Linked DNA regions of Nothobranchius furzeri. The protein of the gene in region 2 purifies or fractionates together with the protein of the main gene of each other region. This does not show direct contact. Links are inferred from orthologs where the notes say so. Each region holds a gene or a part of one and is shown on either strand. Other genes may lie near its edges. The genes, in order: pstpip2 and ptpn18.

Evidence for each region.
Region 1: the proteins of ptpn18 (region 2) and pstpip2 purify together in Homo sapiens (affinity purification with mass spectrometry; 4 studies listed by BioGRID and IntAct, with this or other methods). This does not show direct contact. The link is inferred for Nothobranchius furzeri from reciprocal best matches to the Homo sapiens genes PTPN18 and PSTPIP2.

What each region holds. Positions count from the first base shown.
Region 1 is NC_091746.1:59,936,123-59,946,617, forward strand, and holds the start of pstpip2 (proline-serine-threonine phosphatase-interacting protein 2), read right to left. Parts: upstream 7,063-10,495; 5' UTR 6,937-7,062; coding exon 6,904-6,936; intron 6,480-6,903; coding exon 6,379-6,479; intron 3,831-6,378; coding exon 3,756-3,830; intron 1-3,755. UniProt on the Homo sapiens protein: Binds to F-actin. May be involved in regulation of the actin cytoskeleton.
Region 2 is NC_091755.1:47,280,371-47,290,326, forward strand, and holds the start of ptpn18 (tyrosine-protein phosphatase non-receptor type 18), read left to right. Parts: upstream 1-614; 5' UTR 615-673; coding exon 674-877; intron 878-5,755; coding exon 5,756-5,864; intron 5,865-6,103; coding exon 6,104-6,180; intron 6,181-6,337; coding exon 6,338-6,433; intron 6,434-7,853; coding exon 7,854-7,892; intron 7,893-7,972; coding exon 7,973-8,041; intron 8,042-8,150; coding exon 8,151-8,213; intron 8,214-8,282; coding exon 8,283-8,425; intron 8,426-8,819; coding exon 8,820-8,886; intron 8,887-9,321; coding exon 9,322-9,399; intron 9,400-9,956. UniProt on the Homo sapiens protein: Differentially dephosphorylate autophosphorylated tyrosine kinases which are known to be overexpressed in tumor tissues.

The DNA.
Region 1 (10,495 bases), on a different chromosome or scaffold from region 2:
GATGACGAGTTCTCGAGACATGAAAGTAAATTTCACTATAGTCGGTCTCTATCTGACAACGCAGTTGCATCTTTTAAATCAACTGTTCCATCTTTACTGTCCTCAGCATCTCAGAGGAACGTAGCAGAGGGCAATATTTGTATCTCTAGCCCTTCACAAATTGATGCTTTAGTTCATAATGTTACTTTCTCTTTACGTGTGGCATTCGATGATGTTGCCCCTTTAAAAAAGAAGGCAATTAGGGACAGGAAGTTGGCTCCCTGGTTTAATTCTCATTTGCGAACTTTAAAACAAAACTTTAGAAAATTGGAGAGAACATGGCATTCTACACACCAGGAGGAGTCCTACCTATCCTGGAAAAATAGTCTTGTGCTTTATAAAAGTAAGCTTCTATAAAATTGAACTGCATATTTTTCAGCGCTAATTGAGGAGAATAAGAATAATCCAAAATTTCTTTTCAGTACAGTTGCCAAACTTGCACAGAATCATAGCTCTGAACCATCTATTCCCTTAGCCCTCATCAGCAATAACTTTATGGGATTTTTCACAAGTAAAATTAATTCTATTAGAAACAAAATCATTAGCATTCTCCCTAATGCAATTTCTTCTTCCTCAGTAAGTGAGGCAGCATCAGAGGTAACTGCAGAACCTCATCTGTGTTTGAACTGTTTTGATCCAGTTGAGCTTTCAGAGTTATCAAAAATATTAACTCCATCTACACCTTCAACTTGCATTTTAGATCCAATCCCAACCAAATTATTTAAAGATGCATTTCCTTTGGTTACTGCCCCATTCCAGATATAATCAATCTATCCTTAGTAAATGGATATGTACCACAGGATTTTAAGGTTGCTGTAATCAAGCCTTTACTTAAGAAGCCTTCTCTGGATCCAGATGACCCAATGAATTATAGACCAATATCTAACCTTTGATTTTTATCCAAAGTCCTTGAGAAAATAGTGGCCATCCAAGTATGTGAGCGTTTAAAAAACTAAAGATCTGTTTGAGGAATTTCAGTCTGGTTTTAGAGAATATCACAGCACTGAAACTGCATTAGTGAGAATTACAAATGATATTCTCATGGCCTCAGATAAGAATCTTGTGTGTGTTCTAGTCTTGTTAGATCTCAGTGCTGCCTTTGACACAGTAGTTCACAATGTTCTTTTAGAAAGGCTTGGACATGTTGTAGGGATCAAAGGAACAGCGCTAGGCTGGTTTAAATCCTACCTGTCTGGTAGATTTCATTTTGTAAATGTAGATGACAAATCTTCCTCATACCCCAGGGTTACTTGTGGAGTACCACAGGGTTCAGTGCTTGGACCAATTCTTTTTACTATATATATATATGCTCCCAATTGGTAAAATCATTAGACAGTATGGGATAAACTTCCACTGTTATGCTGATGATACTCAGTTATATCTATCCATTAACTCTGATTAACCTAATCTTAGTTAGATTACAGGCTGTCTGATAGATTTCATTTTGTAAATGTACATGACAAATCTTCCTCATACCCCAGGGTTACTTGTGGAGTACCACAGGGTTCAGTGCTTGGACCAATTCTTTTTACTATATATATGCTCCCAATTGGTAAAATCATTAGACAGTATGGGATAAACTTCCACTGTTATGCTGATGATACTCAGTTATATCTATCCATTAACTCTGATTAACCTAATCTTAGTTAGATTACAGGCTTGTCTTAAATACATAAAAAATTGGATGACTCAAAACTTTTTGCTTTTAAATCAAGACAAGACTGAAGTTCTCATCTTCAGAAATTTAGAAAAGGAAATTGCTTAGTCAATCACCTGACCTGAATGGCATTAAATTAGTCTCCGAGAACAAAGTAAGGAACCTTGGTGTTATCTTTGATCAGGACATGTCATTCAAATCCCAGGTTAAACAGGTTTGTTGGATTTCCTTTTTCCACCTTCAGAATGTTGCTAAGATTAGATTAATCCTTTCCAGAAGTGATGCCGAAAAACTAGTTCATGCATTTATTACATCAAGACTGGATTACTGTAATTCATTACTCTCAGGAAGTCCGCAGAATGTAGTTAAAAGTCTTCAGCTTGTCCAAAATGCTGCAGCTAGAGTTCTGATGAGAATTAAAAAGAGAGATCATATCTCTCCTGTCTTAGCTTCCCTACATTGGCTACCTGTTAATTTCAGAATAGATTTTAAGATCCTCCTTCTCACATATAAAGCTCTTAATAATCAAGCTCCATCATTCATCAGTGACCTGATTGTTCCATACGTTCCTAACCGAGCACTTCGCTCTCAGGCTGCAGGTTTACTGGTGGCTCCCAGAATATCTAAAAATAGGATGGGAGGAAGATCTTTTAGTTATCAGGCTCCTCGCTTGTGGAACCAACTCCCAGCTTTAGTTTGTGAGGCAGACACCTTGTCTACTTTTAAGAACAGGCTTAAAACATTTTTATTTGATAGAGCCTATGGTTAAAATCTGATGTTAGCCTAGATCTAGACAAGTGGGGGAGTAGAGGGAGGTGGAGTGTACAGTTGGTAAAGACAGCTCTCCCTTGCCCTGCCTCCAACATGCCTCTATCTAAAAGGCTAGTTTATCCAGAGTTATTTCTGTAGTTATGCTGCTATAGGCTTAGACTGCTGGAGGACACACTGACCACTTTCCACACTCTACTACTTTCTTCTACAATTTGCTCTTTAACTGTAATATTTTCTGCAATTTCAGCTGTTAACTGTATTTTCTCTCTAAGTGTTTTTCTTCCCAGAAGAAGCTACAATGATGTTCTGCTGAGCTGTGGTGGCCTCATAGAGGGGGCCATCGTCTTGAACACTGTTGCTAACCACTTAATCATTCTCCTTCTCCTGATGATAACATTTGACATTTCTTGACATTGAATGAGCTACTACTAGTTTACCCGTTTAATTATAGATTCACTAGGATAAATACAAAAAACTTTATAGCTCACCAAATAGAATATTTACTCAGAAATCACAATGTAACCATAGACACATTACTTGGTATATATGATGTGTGTGTGTGTGCGCACATACGTGCGTGCGTGCGTGCGTGCGTGCCTGTGTGTGTGTGTGTGTGTGTGTGTGTGTGTGTGTGTGTGTGTGTGTGTGTGTGTGTGTGTGTGTGTGTGTATGTGTGTCTGCTCTGTCTACTTGATCCCCAGTGAGTCGTGGAGGATGGCTGCTTATACTGAGCCAGGATCCTCTGGAGGTTTCTTCCTGTTAAAATGGAGTCTTCCTCTCCACTGTCTCTAAATGCTTGTTTAGCATGAGGATTGCAGTAAAGACACTGACACCAGTCAGTGACTTGACGCAATTTGCTGGGTTCCTTATATAGGAAACTTTTTTCTGATTGGCTTGATGAACTGTTTGGAATATTTATTATGTGAAGTGCCTTGAGATGACTCTTGTCGTGATTTGGCGCTATATAAATAAACTTGAAATGAATTGAATTGAGTCATGGACACTAATTTCTTCCTCTAAACACTTAACGCCCCTACACAGATTCAGATCTAGGCTAATCATGTGACTGAACAGGAAGCCAAAAAGCTGGTGGACAAAAATATCACGAAGAAACTGATAAATAGTCATTGGTTTCATTTGACAGCAACAGCTAAAGAATCTGACCAGGATCTAAATCCACCACGTCAGCTGCTAAAAGACAGACTTGTGCATTTAATTATCAGACACCTGAGGTAAACAGGGCAGGTGGAGCTCATAATAACAGTGTGTGGGCCCGCAGGTTGCTTACTTCATCTCATTATGTCCACAAACCTTCTTGGACAAACTGAGAAGATCTTTGGCATACTTCTCTTCCACTGTAGCCCTAAAAAGGAAATCACAACAGAGCACAGTGAGTCAAGATGTTACAAGCTCAAAACCATTTCATATTAATATGAAAAAATATACAGAAAAGTCACTCAGTGACTGTACAACATTGGCCTGGGTGACAAATCAATTTAATCAATTAATTCAAATTTTTTGTTTGGGTGATTTAAAAAAGTAAATCAAATTTTTATGTAATAACGTCTTTTTGCCCCCCCCCCCCCGCCCCCACCCCCCCCCCCCCACCCCCGAGCTTCCGTAGCATTTGTTTCACATAACCGCGACAACAACGTCACAGCACGCGCATGAAACAGCAACAGCAAGCGACTCCATGGCCACCAGTGAGAGTGGGATGTTTGTTCCTAAGAAAGGAATTAAATCATCCGTTGTTTGGAACTGGTTTGGATTTGCAGTGACGGACGTGGAGTGTGGCACTTTTATTCCAAGAGGGTGTTCATTTATTCATTATTCATTTCAGAAATGAGGGTTACATTTACCTTGCTTGTGATTAAATAAAAAACTAAATTGGCTTGAATGTGCCTTCCATTTATTCTTATTGCTATTCTTAATAATTGAAGGGGAGAGAGAATCGTAAAAAAAATTCATGAATCGAATAAAAAAATTAAATAAATTTGGACATTTTATTTTTAGGCTGTATCGCCCAGCCCAAGAACAACCTGCAGAAAACGGTTTATTTCATATTCAGTTTCTGTCCTACCTATCAGGGAATGGACACATTTATGAATTCACATGTAAGCGAATGAAACTATGAATGACAAAAAAGTGGGTCAAATCTCCAAATCTGAACAAGAAACTTCTTCTGCTCTCTTGATCCCTTAAAATGTTTTTAACCTGTTCTTCACATCTCTATAAGCATACGAAACTTTGTTGGGGCTCACATTGAATCAGGAGCCTTGATAACTGGTTAAACCCAACCTCATAATGTGTGTGTGTGTGTGTGTGTGTGTGTGTGTGTGTGTGTGTGTGTGTGTGTGTGTGTGTGTGTGTGTGTGTGTGTGTGTGTGTGTGTGTGTGTGTGTGTGTGTCAGATATTGGCAGCAAAACACCTGATTGGAGCATCCCTACTAATTTACATAGGAAAGCAGGTGGGAGATGGCACAGGCCTTTGATATGTTACATTAGACACACCAATCTGCCTTTAACTAAAACAACTGGGTTATGCAATGCAATTCTACAAGTTCAGTTTTCAATATTATGTTGGTTTGATAATTCACACAGATGGAACAAAATGAGTCTGGCCTTCTATAAAGTCACACATCAACCATAATGAGGCTTGGCCCCATAAGACAAGCCAACCAGAAATGTCCCCGCTGACTTATTCCACTACACGTTACTGACACTTCTGTTTATTTAACCGAGTCTGACTGATCAGGTGCCAAAACTCTTAATGATTAATGGAATTCATGGATTTCTCCACAGATCAGCTAAAGAAAGACCCAAACACTGGATGACTAAGTGTCAAAGTGTTTTCTTACAGCTTCTTTCATGCTCATGAGTGCTACTTCTTGTATTTTACAAACCACCGTGTTTCACTAAACCCCTTCAATTCTTAATTTAGGGAACTTTCAGTTATGTTATTATGTAATACCCCCCATTATGTTTCAGGGGGTTTAATGTCTGTGCAGATGTTTAGTGAACCGGGCCGTAACACAACTTTATTACTTATGAACGTCTGTGGAACAAATCAAGCTGAGATGATGTCAGTGACTGAAAACTGGACTTGGCTTAGTGTGTGTGTGTGTGTGTGTGTGTGTGTGTGTGTGTGTGTGTGTGTGTGTGTGTGTGTGTACTTTATATGCTTAAGTTGACAAACTTAAACTTAACGTTTAACCTGTAGTGTGTGAACATTTCCACATTGTGAGGACATCTGGCCAATTCACACAATGACAAAATACCCTTAAATGTGGTTTTAGAGGTATAGTGTGAACTAACGTTGGTTTAGGTTAGGGTTAAGGATAGAACAGCATTGGTTAGGGTTAGGGTCAGGCACAATGGGTTAGCGTTATGAACGAATGAACGAAAATCAATGACGGTCCTCACAAGGATTGCCAGACAAGAGTGTGTGTGTGCACGCGCGTGTGTACGTGTGTGTTAGAATGAGGACTGATTATCACTTCAGGAAGAAGGGATTTAAAACTCAACTTCATACAATAAAATGTATGTTTCATATTTGTAAGGACTACTATTTTAGTCTTAAATTTGAACGTTCGTAATTTTATGGTCGGGAATCAATTTTCTATCATTTCAGAAGTTCTTCTCACCCTACCAGGAAACATTAGCAGACATTTTTGTTTGGTTTTGATTTGAGCTACTTCCTTCCTCACGTCCTGTAAACGTTTTATTAAGCAATAAACTTTGCAGAGTCTATAGCTAGTTCATGTCCCTCCTGTTTTCTAGGTTTCATTTTCATGCAATCTTCTCTTTTTTATTTTTGCAGATTAATTTCCTAAACGCAAACATTAAATCTGCACAGATAACAACTGGCACATGTGGGCAGTTTCTGCAACACGCCTTGATCGTGTCATTACCTGGCTTTCATGAATTCTTCCACTTCCTTACACGTTCTTTTGCCTTCATTGAGATACTGAATGATGGCATCATAGCCAGCAGTAGAGGTCAGATCTGAGGTCTTTAAGCAAAACCAAAACCAAAAAAAAAAAGACAATCAATGTCCATGTCATCCATTTTATCATGAACAATAATTACAATTAAAACACAACATTTTCCTTTATTTAACACTTTATCCCAATGCAGGAATTTTCTGCATAAACACAGGTAATGATATATTTGGAATTTTATACCCTGAATGCAGCAGCCTGTAAACATGCTTCTTGTGTAGAATTTTCTTCACATCAGGTTAAAAAGTTTATTTCAAAGCTTAATTATAGAAACATTTACATTATTTTTATTCAAAAGTAGAATTTTATTAATTTCAATTTGTCACATGAAAGCTGATTGCGATACTTTATGACAGGATTTTCAGTAGAGAATGAAAGTCTACCTAAAGTAATTTTGAGCTAACTTCAAAATAAAACATTAGATAAATCACTCACCCAGAAGAAATCCTTGAAATGAAGGTTTTTCATAACTGAAACCGTCCAGCGGGTTTTGTTTGTCTGCCAGGGCGAATCTTCCTACTCTTGCTGTTTCCCTGAGACGAGAGTGAACTGTCTGATCTAACCAGTCATTTTAAAGAGCGCATGCGCACTGGGGATTACAAGCAAGCCAGAAAAATTAAGCAGTGATGAAAAAGTTTTAAAGAATGTGCTGCTATCTAGTGGAAGCTACTGGGGTTGCAGATAGGAAGAAGAGGGTCTAGGTTTAGGGTTTAAATTAAATTAAATTAAATTAAATTAAATTAAATTAAATTAAATTAAATTAAATTAAAAATAACATGGATTTTATATGGGTGAGTTGTGGCCCTCCAGCACAGGCAGTTGATGCAGAAAGGCACTTTTCCCCACATTTTTATTTAAAGATTTTTACAAGTCATACTAAAATAAAAATAAACATGTTCTCATTATGGAAAATGTAATCTGTCTTTTAGAGTTTGCAACATCAAAACATCAAAGCTTGTAACATTTGTCATGCTTTTTGTTTATTTTAAGCTTAATTAAATATTAGATATTAAACATTTGAATATTTAATGAGAAAAAATCTTTTGTACTATAATTGCGAGCTACACCAGCATTGTAGAAGAAATTCAACTTCTTGTCTAATTTTTGTTGTTTTTACTGTCAGTTACAACAGCTTGTTATGTAATGTCACAACATGGAGACTTTTATCGATGTACACCATCGGATGTGAGGAAATCCAGCTAGCGCACTGTCTCTTCTCTCACACCATGTCCAAAAACCTGGAGGGCGAGGTCATTCGTTACATCCAGACAAATGCAGTTCAGCAAAACATCACAGCCAAACAGAACATCTGGAGTACACGGTTTATAGAGTCTCTGATTAAAAAGGTTCATAGTGCATTTACGGTGAAAACAGAATCGCACACAACAGCATGATAACAGAAAACAAAAACACACTTTACAGTTCTACTATAAGCAGAAATGTGAACATGTGAGCAGAGAAATGGAACATTTTGTCACATTTCTTCTCTATAATAGCAGCTCTTTCATTTTTATATACTCTGTTTAGCTTTGGGAGTTTTTCATGTGTGAGTTCACGTGACAGCAGCCAATCATCAGCTGCCACAAAGGCCAGCCACTTACTTCCTCAATCCGCCTGAATACAGACCATCATTCAGTTAAAGGTGGACTATGGAACAATTTCATAAAAAGCTATATTTTAAAAAAATAACACCTCCATGGGGCGTTTAGAGATGTGCAGAGTGAAAGTATGGTATTTCCTTTAAAAGCTATATTGTTATCCCTCTCAGAAGAGGAGCGACCATAAAAGATCTAAAACCAGAGTGAGTTTAGGTGAAGCTACAACAGACGAACCTTAATAAGAAAATTCACGGCTGGAAACTTCGTTCTATTGTTGCAACTACAACCTCCACACACTAGATACCACTTTCGTGTTCATGTTCCATATTCCACCTTTAACTTTTAATCTGCTAATCCTGTTAAGCCAATTAAATAACGTTATGTCTTTCATCTGAACTCTTGGTGGTCAATAGATCAGAAAACTCTAAGTTGATTTTATGGGTTTAGAGTCCTAAATGGCAAATTTGTGTCTGAAATATTAGAAAAAAAGATTTGTCACAAACTATTTTAATCTTTTTTATTTGCCTCTCTTTATATCAACAGGTTTTCAAATGAGGCATGCAACACCAGAGAAGAGCAACAACACATGACGCATAAGGAAGTATTCTTAAGTATTAAAAAAACAAAACCAAGCCAAGAATGCAGAAGCAGTTTGAGATAAGTACACTTTTACTGCAACAGGTGCTGCGAATCAAATCCACATTACCCAGTAAGATTTAACTAGTCTAAGATGCTCTAAAAAAATAAAGAACAATGTGGTTTACAAGCAACAAATCAATTCAAGTTTATTTATATAGCGCCAAATCACAACAAGAGTCGTCTCAAGGCACTTCACATGGTAAACATTCCAATACAGGTCAGTTCATTAAGCCAATCAGTAAAAAGTTTCCTATATAAGGAACCCAGCAGATTGCATCAAGTCACTGACTAGTGTCAGTGACTTTACAGCAATCCCCATACTAAGCAAACATTTAGCGACAGTGGAGAGGAAAACTCCCTTTTAACAGGAAGAAACCTCCAGAGAATCCTGGCTCAGTATAAGCAGCCATCCTCCACGACTCACTGGGGATCGAGAAGACAGAGAAGACACACACACACACCAACACCAACGCCAGCCCACACACACACACACACACACACACACACACACACACACACACACACACACACACACACACACACACACACACACACACACACACACCATACATACCAAGTAGTGTGTCTATGGTTACATTGTGATTTCTTAGTAAATTCTATTTGATGAGAGATTAACTTTATTGTATTTATCCTAGTGGATCTATAATTAAATGGGTAAACTAGTAGTAGCACATTCAATGTCAAAGCAAGTAAAATGTTATTATCAGGAAATGAAGAAAGTTTAAGTGGTTAGCAACAGTGTTCAAGGCAAGCCAATGCCCCCCCATGAGGCTACCACAGCTCAGCAGAACATCATTGTAGCTTCTTCTGGGGAGAAAAACACTTAGAGAAAAAATTAAGTTAACAGCTGAAATAGCAGGAAATAATGCAGTTAAAGAGCAACTTGTAGAAGAAAGCAGTAGAGTGTGAGAAGTGGTCAGTATGTCCTCCAGCAGTCTAAGCCTATAGCAGCATAACTACAGAGGTAACTGGATAACCTAGCCTTTTAGATGAAGACATGTTGGCGGCAGGGCAAGGGATCAAAAATGTTTCAACTCATAACAAATTGTTTGAAACAGGAAGCAAAGAAATAATTTTTCTTTTTAAAACTTGAAAAGTTTTGAAAACCTTTGAAGCAATGTCCTTGCACACTATGAAATTTAGAGGAAATAGCACGGAAAATGCTGACAAGCACGATAGTGGAAGGGTGATGATTTGGGTAAATACAATCAATACAATCAAGCAAATGTGTAAATCAGCGGTGCCTGATCCGTTTCAGTATGTTTTAGGTGTTTCTCTACTCCAACACAATGGGTTCTAGGAGAGTAAAATGCTTCTGCAGAGCTTAATGACCTGCTGAAGAGGTAATGCAGCCATTGAATGAAATTTGTTGGATTAGGTTAACAAGTAAAAAAATGGTGGATAGCAACCCTCAAAGGCCAATAATGGGTATCCTGCGTAAATGATTCAAATACGACATAAAACTCAGTCAACCACCCACAATAACAAACAACACAAACATATGACCATCTAAATTAGTACTTTACTCAGCCTCGCTTATTTTACACTGAAATCAAAAGTATATACATTATGTTGCTAATTCACACACCCTGACTGATGCAACATGAATGCAAAATGCCCAGCCTTCACATCACCTGACTGAAGAATGGCGTATTTTTCTGGGACTTCCCAGTTCTGAGGACGTTGATCTTTTAGCAGTGGGGTAATAACTTCAAACACGTTTGAGATACCTGCAGCACTCTAACGTCTCACAAGATTTTCCATTTGAT
Region 2 (9,956 bases):
CCACCTATTCCACCTTCCTCAGGATCCACTGGTTTCCCTCTTTCCCGTTCACTCTCTCTCTTTCTTAACATTTTTTTAAACGCCATAGTCAATTTTTGCTCATTTTAAATATATTTTTAAACATTTTCCAAATGCTTTTTTGTATTTTTACATTTTTTGTTCTTGTGAAGCGCCTCGTGATTTTTATCTAGAGAGGCGCCATAGACATGATTCTTTCTTCTTCTTCTGTCCAACCTTGATTGTGTGTGGCACGCTTTCATTCAGTTTTTTCATGTTCTTTTCTCCGGTTTAAATGAAAAAGAACTTCTTCCTGGCTTTATGACTCAGCTGTGTTGGTGTGGTGGAGCCCCATGCAGGAGCAGGGCTGGGGACCCCTGGCCTGGACTGAAACCGCTCCAGGTGATTCTTTAGTTTCATCGTTTGTTTTTACTGTTTTACTTTGTAACACTTGACCTAAAGTAGTGAAAGTCAAAGGCTTGCTTGTGACCTGCTGCTTGGCGATGGTGTGGTTGTCCACAGGAAGTGTGATAGTTGTGCGATGGCTGCTTATTGGTTGTATAGCAGGTTTCTAATCTGGTGGTGTGAGGTCATCAGTCCTGAGATATTTATTTGATTTGAACTTCCTGGTTCCGAGTTCAGACGCCGCCACTGCGGCTCCTTTATCTGCAGGTGAATGATTAACGGACGTGGCCTCACGCGGAGGCAGAAGTGTGATGCTCTGACAGAAAGGGAAGAGAGAACTAGAAGAGCTTCAGGTTTCAGACTCAGTTCTGCTGCTCAGACACGCTCAGGTGGTGGACTTTCCATGGAGCGGCTGTCCTCTCTGCTGTCCACCCTGAAGACGGTGCACCCAGACACGGTAGAGCACGAGTACAATGTGAGTGTCTGCTTTGATTCTTCTGTCTCTCTGGGGACATTTAGATCGTCCAGCTTTAGCTTCGGATGTTTGTAGGTCAAGGGTCAAGGTCACATTTATTTCTAAAGCACACTTATTATTGCTTCCGCAACCCAAAGTGCTGAACAACACAGAAGATAAAATCACAAACAAATATAACTAAAAACCATAAAAATCAGCAAGTTAGGACAAAAACAGCATTACATCACACGACTATAAAATCTATACAAATGAGAAAGAGTGACAAAATAAAATCATCCTACATAAAAGCCAGGTTGAATAAATGAGTTTTAAGCAAGGACTTAAAGATATCCAGACTTTGTGAGGTCCTGATCTGCAGAGGAAGACTGTTCCAGCGTGTGTGTGTGTGTGTGGGGGGGGGGGGGGGGGGGGGGGGGGGGGCAGAAAAAGCCCCATCTCCTCTCGTCTTTAGGCGAGCCTTTGGAACTGATAATAAAAACTGAGCCCGACCGCAAAATCCTGGCAGGAGTGTGAGGTGACGATAAATCATCTATATAAGGAGGGGCCAGACCGTAAAGTGATTTATAAACAAAAAGCAACAATTTAAACTGAATCCTGTGACGCACTGGCAGCCAGTGTAGAGAAGCGAGCACTGGAGAGATGTGAGCACGCTTCCTTGTACCTGTTAAAAGGCAGGCTGCTGCATTTTGAACCAGTTGCAAGCGGTTTAAGGAGGAATGCCCTAATCCATAATACAGGGAATTGCAGTAATCTAGTCGACAGGAGACAAAGAGATGAATAACAAGTTCAAAGGCAGTTTCCGGCAAATAGCACTTAACCTTTGCAAGTTGCCTCAAGCAAACGTCTCGAGTTAATCAACTTATCTCTACCCTGAACCTGATGCTGAAGATGTGTGTGTGTGTGTGTGTGTGTGTGTGTGTGTGTGTGTGTGTGTATGTGTGTGTATGTGTGTGTGTGTGTGTGTGTGTGTGTGTGTGTGTGTGTGTGTGTGTATGTGTGTGTGTGTGTGTGTGTGTGTGTGTGTGTGTTTATTCAAACGAGTTGCAGCCAGTAAACCCAGAACCTGACTGAAGGTAAAACATGTAAATCAGGCTCCTAGACCAGAAGCTTTGACACCAATTTTGGTCACATGACTCCAGCTGAATCTGAAACACCCTATTTCCTGTTTCACAGCCTTCTTTCGGATCCCTGGATCAGTTTAATCACGTAAACTGTAGCAAAGTTACAGAAAGCAGTTGTTATGCTATAATGAGATTCAAATAGGCTGAGGTTGGAGGTCAAAAACAGCTGCTGTTGGACCTAGGACCTCTCAGGCCCTCATGGCAGATGACTTCATCTGATCTCTGAACTCTGGAGAGCCCCAACATGAAAACACAAATATCACCTGAAAAATACAGCGGACCAAACATGGTAGCAGGAGCGTACAGCAGGAGCATACAGGTGTGTGTTAGCAGGAGCATACAGGTGTGTGTTAGCAGGAGCGTACAGGTGTGTGTTAGCAGGAGCGTACAGGTGTGTGTTAGCAGGAGCATACAGGTGTGTGTTAGCAGGAGCGTACAGGTGTGTGTTAGCAGGAGCGTACAGGTGTGTGTTAGCAGGAGCGTACAGGTGTGTGTTAGCAGGAGCATACATGTGTGTGTTAGCAGGAGCGTACAGCAGGAGCATACAGGTGTGTGTTAGCAGGAGCGTACAGCAGGAGCATACAGGTGTGTGTTAGCAGGAGCGTACAGGTGTGTGTTAGCAGGAGCATACAGGTGTGTGTTAGCAGGAGCGTACAGCAGGAGCATACAGGTGTGTGTTAGCAGGAGCGTACAGGTGTGTGTTAGCAGGAGCATACAGGTGTGTGTTAGCAGGAGCGTACAGCAGAAGCATACAGGTGTGTGTTAGCAGGAGCGTACAGGTGTGTGTTAGCAGGAGCATACAGGTGTGTGTTAGCAGGAGCGTACAGCAGGAGCATACAGGTGTGTGTTAGCAGGAGCGTACAGGTGTGTGTTAGCAGGAGCATACAGGTGTGTGTTAGCAGGAGCGTACAGCAGGAGCATACAGGTGTGTGTTAGCAGGAGCATACAGGTGTGTGTTAGCAGGAGTATACAGGTGTGTGTTAGCAGGAGCATACAGGTGTGTGTTAGCAGGAGCGTATTGCAGGAGCATACAGGTGTGTGTTAGCAGGAGCATACAGGTGTGTGTTAGCAGGAGCATACAGGTGTGTGTTAGCAGGAGCGTATTGCAGGAGCATACAGGTGTGTGTTAGCAGGAGCATACAGGTGTGTGTTAGCAGGAGCGTATTGCAGGAGCATAGAGGTGTGTGTTAGCAGGAGCGTACAGGTGTGTGTTAGCAGGAGCGTACAGGTATGTGTTAGCAGGAGCATACAGGTGTGTGTTAGCAGGAGCGTACAGCAGGAGCATACAGGTGTGTGTTAGCAGGAGCGTACAGGTGTGTGTTAGCAGGAGCGTACAGGTATGTGTTAGCAGGAGCATACAGGTGTGTGTGTTAGCAGGAGCGTACAGCAGGAACATACAGGTGTGTGTTAGCAGGAGCGTACAGGTGTGTGTTAGCAGGAGCGTACAGCAGGAGCATACAGGTGTGTGTTAGCAGGAGCGTACAGGTGTGTGTTAGCAGGAGTATACAGGTGTGTGTTAGCAGGAGCATACAGGTGTGTGTTAGCAGGAGCGTATTGCAGGAGCATACAGGTGTGTGTTAGCAGGAGCATACAGGTGTGTGTTAGCAGGAGTATACAGGTGTGTGTTAGCAGGAGCATACAGGTGTGTGTTAGCAGGAGTGTACAGGTGTGTGTTAGCAGGAGCATAGAGGTGTGTGTTAGCAGGAGCATACAGGTGTGTGTTAGCAGGAACGTATTGCAGGAGCATACAGGTGTGTGTTAGCAGGAGCATACAGGTGTGTGTTAGCAGGAGCATACAGGTGTGTGTTAGCAGGAGCATACAGGTGTGTGTTAGCAGGAGCATACAGGTGTGTGTTAGCAGGAGCATAGAGGTGTGTGTTAGCAGGAGCATACAGGTGTGTGTTAGCAGGAACGTATTGCAGGAGCATACAGGTGTGTGTTAGCAGGAGCATACAGGTGTGTGTTAGCAGGAGTATACAGGTGTGTGTTAGCAGGAGCATACAGGTGTGTGTTAGCAGGAGCGTATTGCAGGAGCATACAGGTGTGTGTTAGCAGGAGCATACAGGTGTGTGTTAGCAGGAGTATACAGGTGTGTGTTAGCAGGAGCATACAGGTGTGTGTTAGCAGGAGTGTACAGGTGTGTGTTAGCAGGAGCATAGAGGTGTGTGTTAGCAGGAGCATACAGGTGTGTGTTAGCAGGAACGTATTGCAGGAGCATACAGGTGTGTGTTAGCAGGAGCATACAGGTGTGTGTTAGCAGGAGCATACAGGTGTGTGTTAGCAGGAGCATACAGGTGTGTGTTAGCAGGAGCATCAGTTTGAACATTTTCAGCAGTTTTATCATTTGCATGTATACTTGGTCCTAAGCATTTGTGCAGAAGTCTTTGTCCAACCTCTTCTGGACCTCACTGAGGACGTTGTTCTGGACCGATGGTACAAGAAGCAGAACTTTTACAGTAGCTTAATGTCGACATGTGCAAAAAGATTTGAGATCTGACAGTAAAACTGGTTCAGAACCATCATCCTGTTAAAAGTCCAATCAGAACAGAACACGTATCTGACCTGCTGATGCTGACAACGTGTTCTGGATCAGGTGGGTCCAGTCTCAACTCTTCTGCTTGCTGACCCTCAGTGGGTCTCCATGCAGTGTAAGGACCCACATGATCCAGCAGGGTCAGGTTGCAACGGGCAGTTCGGATGAGGCAGGGCCGGTTCTGGTTCTGGCTTTGGTTCTGGTTCTGACTCACAGCAGTGTGTTGACAGGAATGTTTTCATTCCTGATTTCTGGTTTCAAATTGGTTCTGGACTGACTTTGCTGTTGCCTTGCAGTGAGAAGGTTGCTGGTTCTAAACCAGGAGATTAAAAAAACCTCTTTTCCAGTGGTGTTCTGGCCGCGAGGCAGCGACATTTAACCGTTACAGCGTAGAAGCAACGGTAAAATATCATAGATCATCATAACTACTGATGGTTTCAGCTTTTGAATTCATTTAAGGAATCGTGTTCAGTCGGTTTCCAGACTCTGCAGCAGGTTCCAGTCAGAAGGAGCTGAAGAGGCAAAGGCCATCCCACTCATCGGTACAGATCACAGTGATGTGTCATGGCTCTACAGTTGGTGATAAACCTCAAAGACGCACGATGAACCGAGCAAGAGCAGCATCCGTATAAAAACAATCAGCATAATCTAACACGGGTAAAACAGTAGCAGTGACAAGGCGCTTTTATGCTTCGAAAAAAAGAAAAACACAACATTTACGGAAGAAAAATACTAACTTAAGTTTTAGTTTCTTCACCAGTTTCTTTGTGTGTGGTTTCAAAGTACGTGAGTCATCAATCAAGACACCCAGGTACTTGTATTCATGGACAACATCCCTTCCAGAGCGGTCACCACTGGAATAACATCTGGCCCGTTCCTGCTGGACAACAGCATTAGCTTAGTCTTCTCAGCATCGAGGACCAGTTTTACCTGATGAAGCGAATGCTGGACTACAGCAAAAGCTGAAGTGTCACAACAATAAATAACTGTATCATCAGCGTAAAAGTGCATATTTGCATCAGGAACATTTTGACCCAAGTCATTGATGGACAAGATAAACAGGAGTGGCCCCAAGACCGAGCCCTGGGGCACCCCCTTCCGCACCACTCCAAAGTCAGAGCAAAGACACAGTGATGTCACTATAACAGAAGCGTGTGTGTGTGTGTGTGTGTGTGTGTGTGTGTGTGTGTGTGTGTGCGTGTGTGTGTGTGTGTGTGATTACAGGTGGTGCGCTCACAGTCTCTGCAGATAAAGAGAGAGCTGAATTTGACCTCACAAGTCGGAGCTCTGAAGGAAAACATCAAGAAGAATCGTTACAAAGACATCCTGCCGTGTACGAGGACACGTCTGGTCTCCTGCTTTCCTCCCGTCAAGTCCTTCTTCTTGTGTCTCTGTCCGAGTCTGTCTCGTAACATCATGTCTGCTTCAGATGGCCAAAACTGACAAAGAAAATGAAAAATGCCTTTATTGTTAATTTGGACTTTTAATTTCTTATGACTAAATCTGAACTGTGTGTGTGTGTGTGTGTGTGTGTGTGTGTGTGTGTGTGTGTGTGTGTGTGTGTGTGTGTAGATGATCAGACCCGGGTGGTGTTATCCCAGCAAACCGCTGACGCACATTCTGATTATATAAATGCCAGCTTCATCAAGGTGACGAAGACTCAAAAACTCTAACATCACACACACACACACACACACACACACACACACACACACACACACACACACACACACACACACACACACACACACACACACTTGTCGGATTGAACTGCTGCTGCTTGTAATGCACCTGGTTGTCCTGCAGGGGGCGTCAGGGGACTGCAGGTACATTGCCTGCCAGGGGCCTCTTAGCTCCACCCTGACGGACTTCTGGAGGATGATCTGGCAACATCACATCAAGGTCAGAAACACAACATAAACCGTTGGTGTCCAGGAAGTAGTCTGATCCATGAAGAGAGCAAAAATTAACTGATTTCAGGTTTTATATTTGTTTTGTTCTTGTGGTTCTTACACACATTTATTAAGTCAAATCAAGTCAGTTTTATTTGTGGAAAATGGCCGGTGTAGCACCCTCTTGGAGTTCTACAACCCCCAACCCCATTCACACACGGGTGGGGATGAGCTACAACGTAGCCACAGCTGCCCTTGGGCGCACTGATGGCGGCGAGGCTGCCGAGCACTGGCGCCGCCCACCAGTCTCTCTTTCCACCATTAGCAGGCAAGGCGGGTTAAGTGTCTTGCCCAAGGACACAAGAGCAGCATTCTCTTTCAGGAGCCAGGATCAAACCTGCAACCTTCTGACTACAGGACAACCCGCTCTGCCTGTTGAGCTGCTGCTGTCCCTATTCATAAAGCCCTTTCCTACGCCTGGCCAAGTGGCGGACACACACGCGTTTCATCACACAGTAGAATCAACATAGAGAAACGCTAAAGTCGGTAAAAAATCATTTAGTACAATAAATGATTAAAAGTCAATAAAAGCTATAAACGATAAAGCTAAAGAATAATTAAGTGTTTTTAATCTCAACTTAAATGTTTTTACATGTGTTTTTGATACCTTTAACACGATAAAAGGGTTTTTTTTTTCAGTCCAACTGCATCCGGAGAAGATTGATGATGTCAGAGCAGCAGAAACCTAAAAGTGTGGTTCACACTTCAAATGATTAAGTCACTCTGAGGGTTTCATGCAGGCTGAACATGAAAATAGTCTCCTACACCTATCTCCTGCATTAGCTTCTGATAGAAAACAGACGGTGAAACTCTAGGATTAGCAAATCCTGACAGATCTACGTCACACTGTCACCTAATGTTCATGGACTCACCCATCTGGACTCACGACTGGGAAGGCTGTCGTTGGTTTAGTCCAGGAAACAGCAGAGAACATCTCTGCTAGCACTGTTAGCATTAGCAACTCCACCACACAGCAGAACTCCTCTTGACTTGTGCTATCTGTAGAGTTAAATCATCAACATTGCAGCGCAAACAGAGTCAGCGGTAGAGTCGTGCTGCTGTTAGCCAATCAGAGGAGAGACATCTGAATATCAGGAAGTAAGACTCCCGATCCTGTTGTCTGAAGCTCAGCTGATGTGGCTCCTTTCTAGTTCCTGGAACGGGCTCACCGGCGCTTTTTCCCCGGAGTACGACACACAAGGCCTTCATTCCTACTAGAGACCATTGCACATGTGTTGATTAAATGAGCTACCCACATCTCTGAAGTGTGTGTTAACGTGAATGGATGATCACAAACTAATAAGCAGTCAAACTGTCCAATCAGAGGTTTTTACAGTCGGGCCCCTCTGACTAACACCCCTCTGTTTCAGGTGATAGTCATGGCCTGCAGAGAGATCGAGATGGGGAAGGTAAAGCATGTTTTATGCGTGTTTGTTTGATGTGTGATTGAAACAGCTGAACACTAAACATCCGAGCAACCTTCCTGCAGAGAAAGTGCGAGTGTTACTGGGCTGCAGCTCTCCAGCCAGTCGTGTTCGGACCTTTTACTGTCCGCTGTGTAAGTTCACCCACAGGTCACACAGAGGTCATGTTTAATTAACACGTAAATCAACAAGAGTCAGATTCAGTTTCAGCTCCTTGTCCCGGCTGTCCCTGTGTGTCTCCAGCAGGGAGAGACCAAACCCAACAAGGACGTCGTGGTCAGAAATCTGACCGTCAGCTACCAGCAGGTCCAATCCCAATTCTGACGTAAAACAAAGAAGCTGCTTCCTCCGTGACCTCCTCTTGTCCTCCTGCAGGAGACCCAGTCGGTGATCCAGTACCAGTACACATCCTGGCCAGATCACGACGTTCCCTCTGACACGGCAGGAATTCTGGACCTGCTGGACCGAGCCAGAAGCAGCTGTGGAGCTGACCCGTCACCTCTCCTGATTCACTGCAGGTGCACACACACACACACACACACACACACACACACACACACACACACACTGAACTGCAGTTGACTTTGTATCATTACAGCAGCTTGTTTGTAGCAGCAGCACTGATCACAGGTCAGCTGGTCATTAACATTTAACAGGACAGCGTAACACACGCAAGCACACACACACACACACACACACTCACACACACACACACACACATGCACACACTCACACACAAACACACCCACTCTAGAGCAGGAGGTGGTGAATATGCAGCAGGTAACACCTGCTAACGATGGCACAGTTAACATGCTCAATGCATCTGTTAGAGTCTGTGTGTGTGTGTGTGTGTGTGTGTGTGTGTGTGTGTGTGTGTGTGTGTGTGTGTGTGTGTGTGTGTGTGTGTTATAGTGCCGGCTGTGGGAGGACAGGAGTCATCTGTGCTCTTGACTACATCCATGACCTTCTGGTTGCCACGGTAACACATGATAACAACTCCTGCAAACCAAGCTCATTTAAAAAAAATCTCTTCGTAAACAAACGTAAGCCAGGACAGGTTCTGGGAGGGTTCCGAATACTCGGGCCTGGGTCCAGAACCCAAATAGGGTCCTCCTCATGTTTAAAGGCTAGAAAGTCCAGGAACCACTTGAGCAAACATCTGGGACCATCAGATCAGTTGGAGGTCCTCCAGCTGCTCCCAGGTTCCTCCGTGGCCTGAATCACAACAAGAAGTTAAAGAATCCATCATGGATCTGGTAGCTCAGCAGGTTCTCCTACAGCAAGTCAACCAAAAGAACCAAATGAAGCCTTGAGAGTCTCAGCTAGAACATGGGTACTCGGTCCAGACCGTCTGAGCGGTTCTGCCTCTGTGGCGTTTGTTTTTCTTCACCCTTTTGTGTTGTTGGTTCTGCAGCAGATTCCTAAAGGCTTCAGCATCCTGAAGGTCGTCCTGGAGCTCCGGAAACAGAGACCTTCAGCAGTGCAGACCCAGGTAGGCAGATCCACGAAGGCTCCTCACACCAGTCCCTGGTCTTACTCTAGTTCCTGGACCCGCTAGTCGTCACTCTGGTGTGTGAACCTGTTCTCCGCGTTTGACCCGTCTCCTGGGGGAGTGGTGAGCTGCAGACACGGCTGCACTCGGGAACCGTTTGGTGGTGTAACCCCACCAGTCCAACCTCTTTATGCTGAGGGAGACACTGGGTTCCATTTCTGAAAGTCTAGTCTACTAGTCCCTGGTCCAGACCAGTCCCGGTTCCATTTGCTTCTCTGAGTTTTCGTTGGAGATGGTTCTTCAAGCAATGCTTTCTGAGGATTTGTAGAGCTCAGTGGTCCAGGCTAGACCTCGTCCCTCACACCCTAAACTCCCACCAAATTCTTTGAACAGTTCCTGAGGTTCTGCTAGAAGAACCCAGGATCCATCCAGTGTGTCAAACTGGATCCTCCAACATCCAGACTGAAGTGGGCCTGTCTCTAAGACCATCAGAACCATGATCAGCTCATTAAAGGGACTCTTCACTCAAACAGAGACCCGTCCAACCCGGCTAAAGC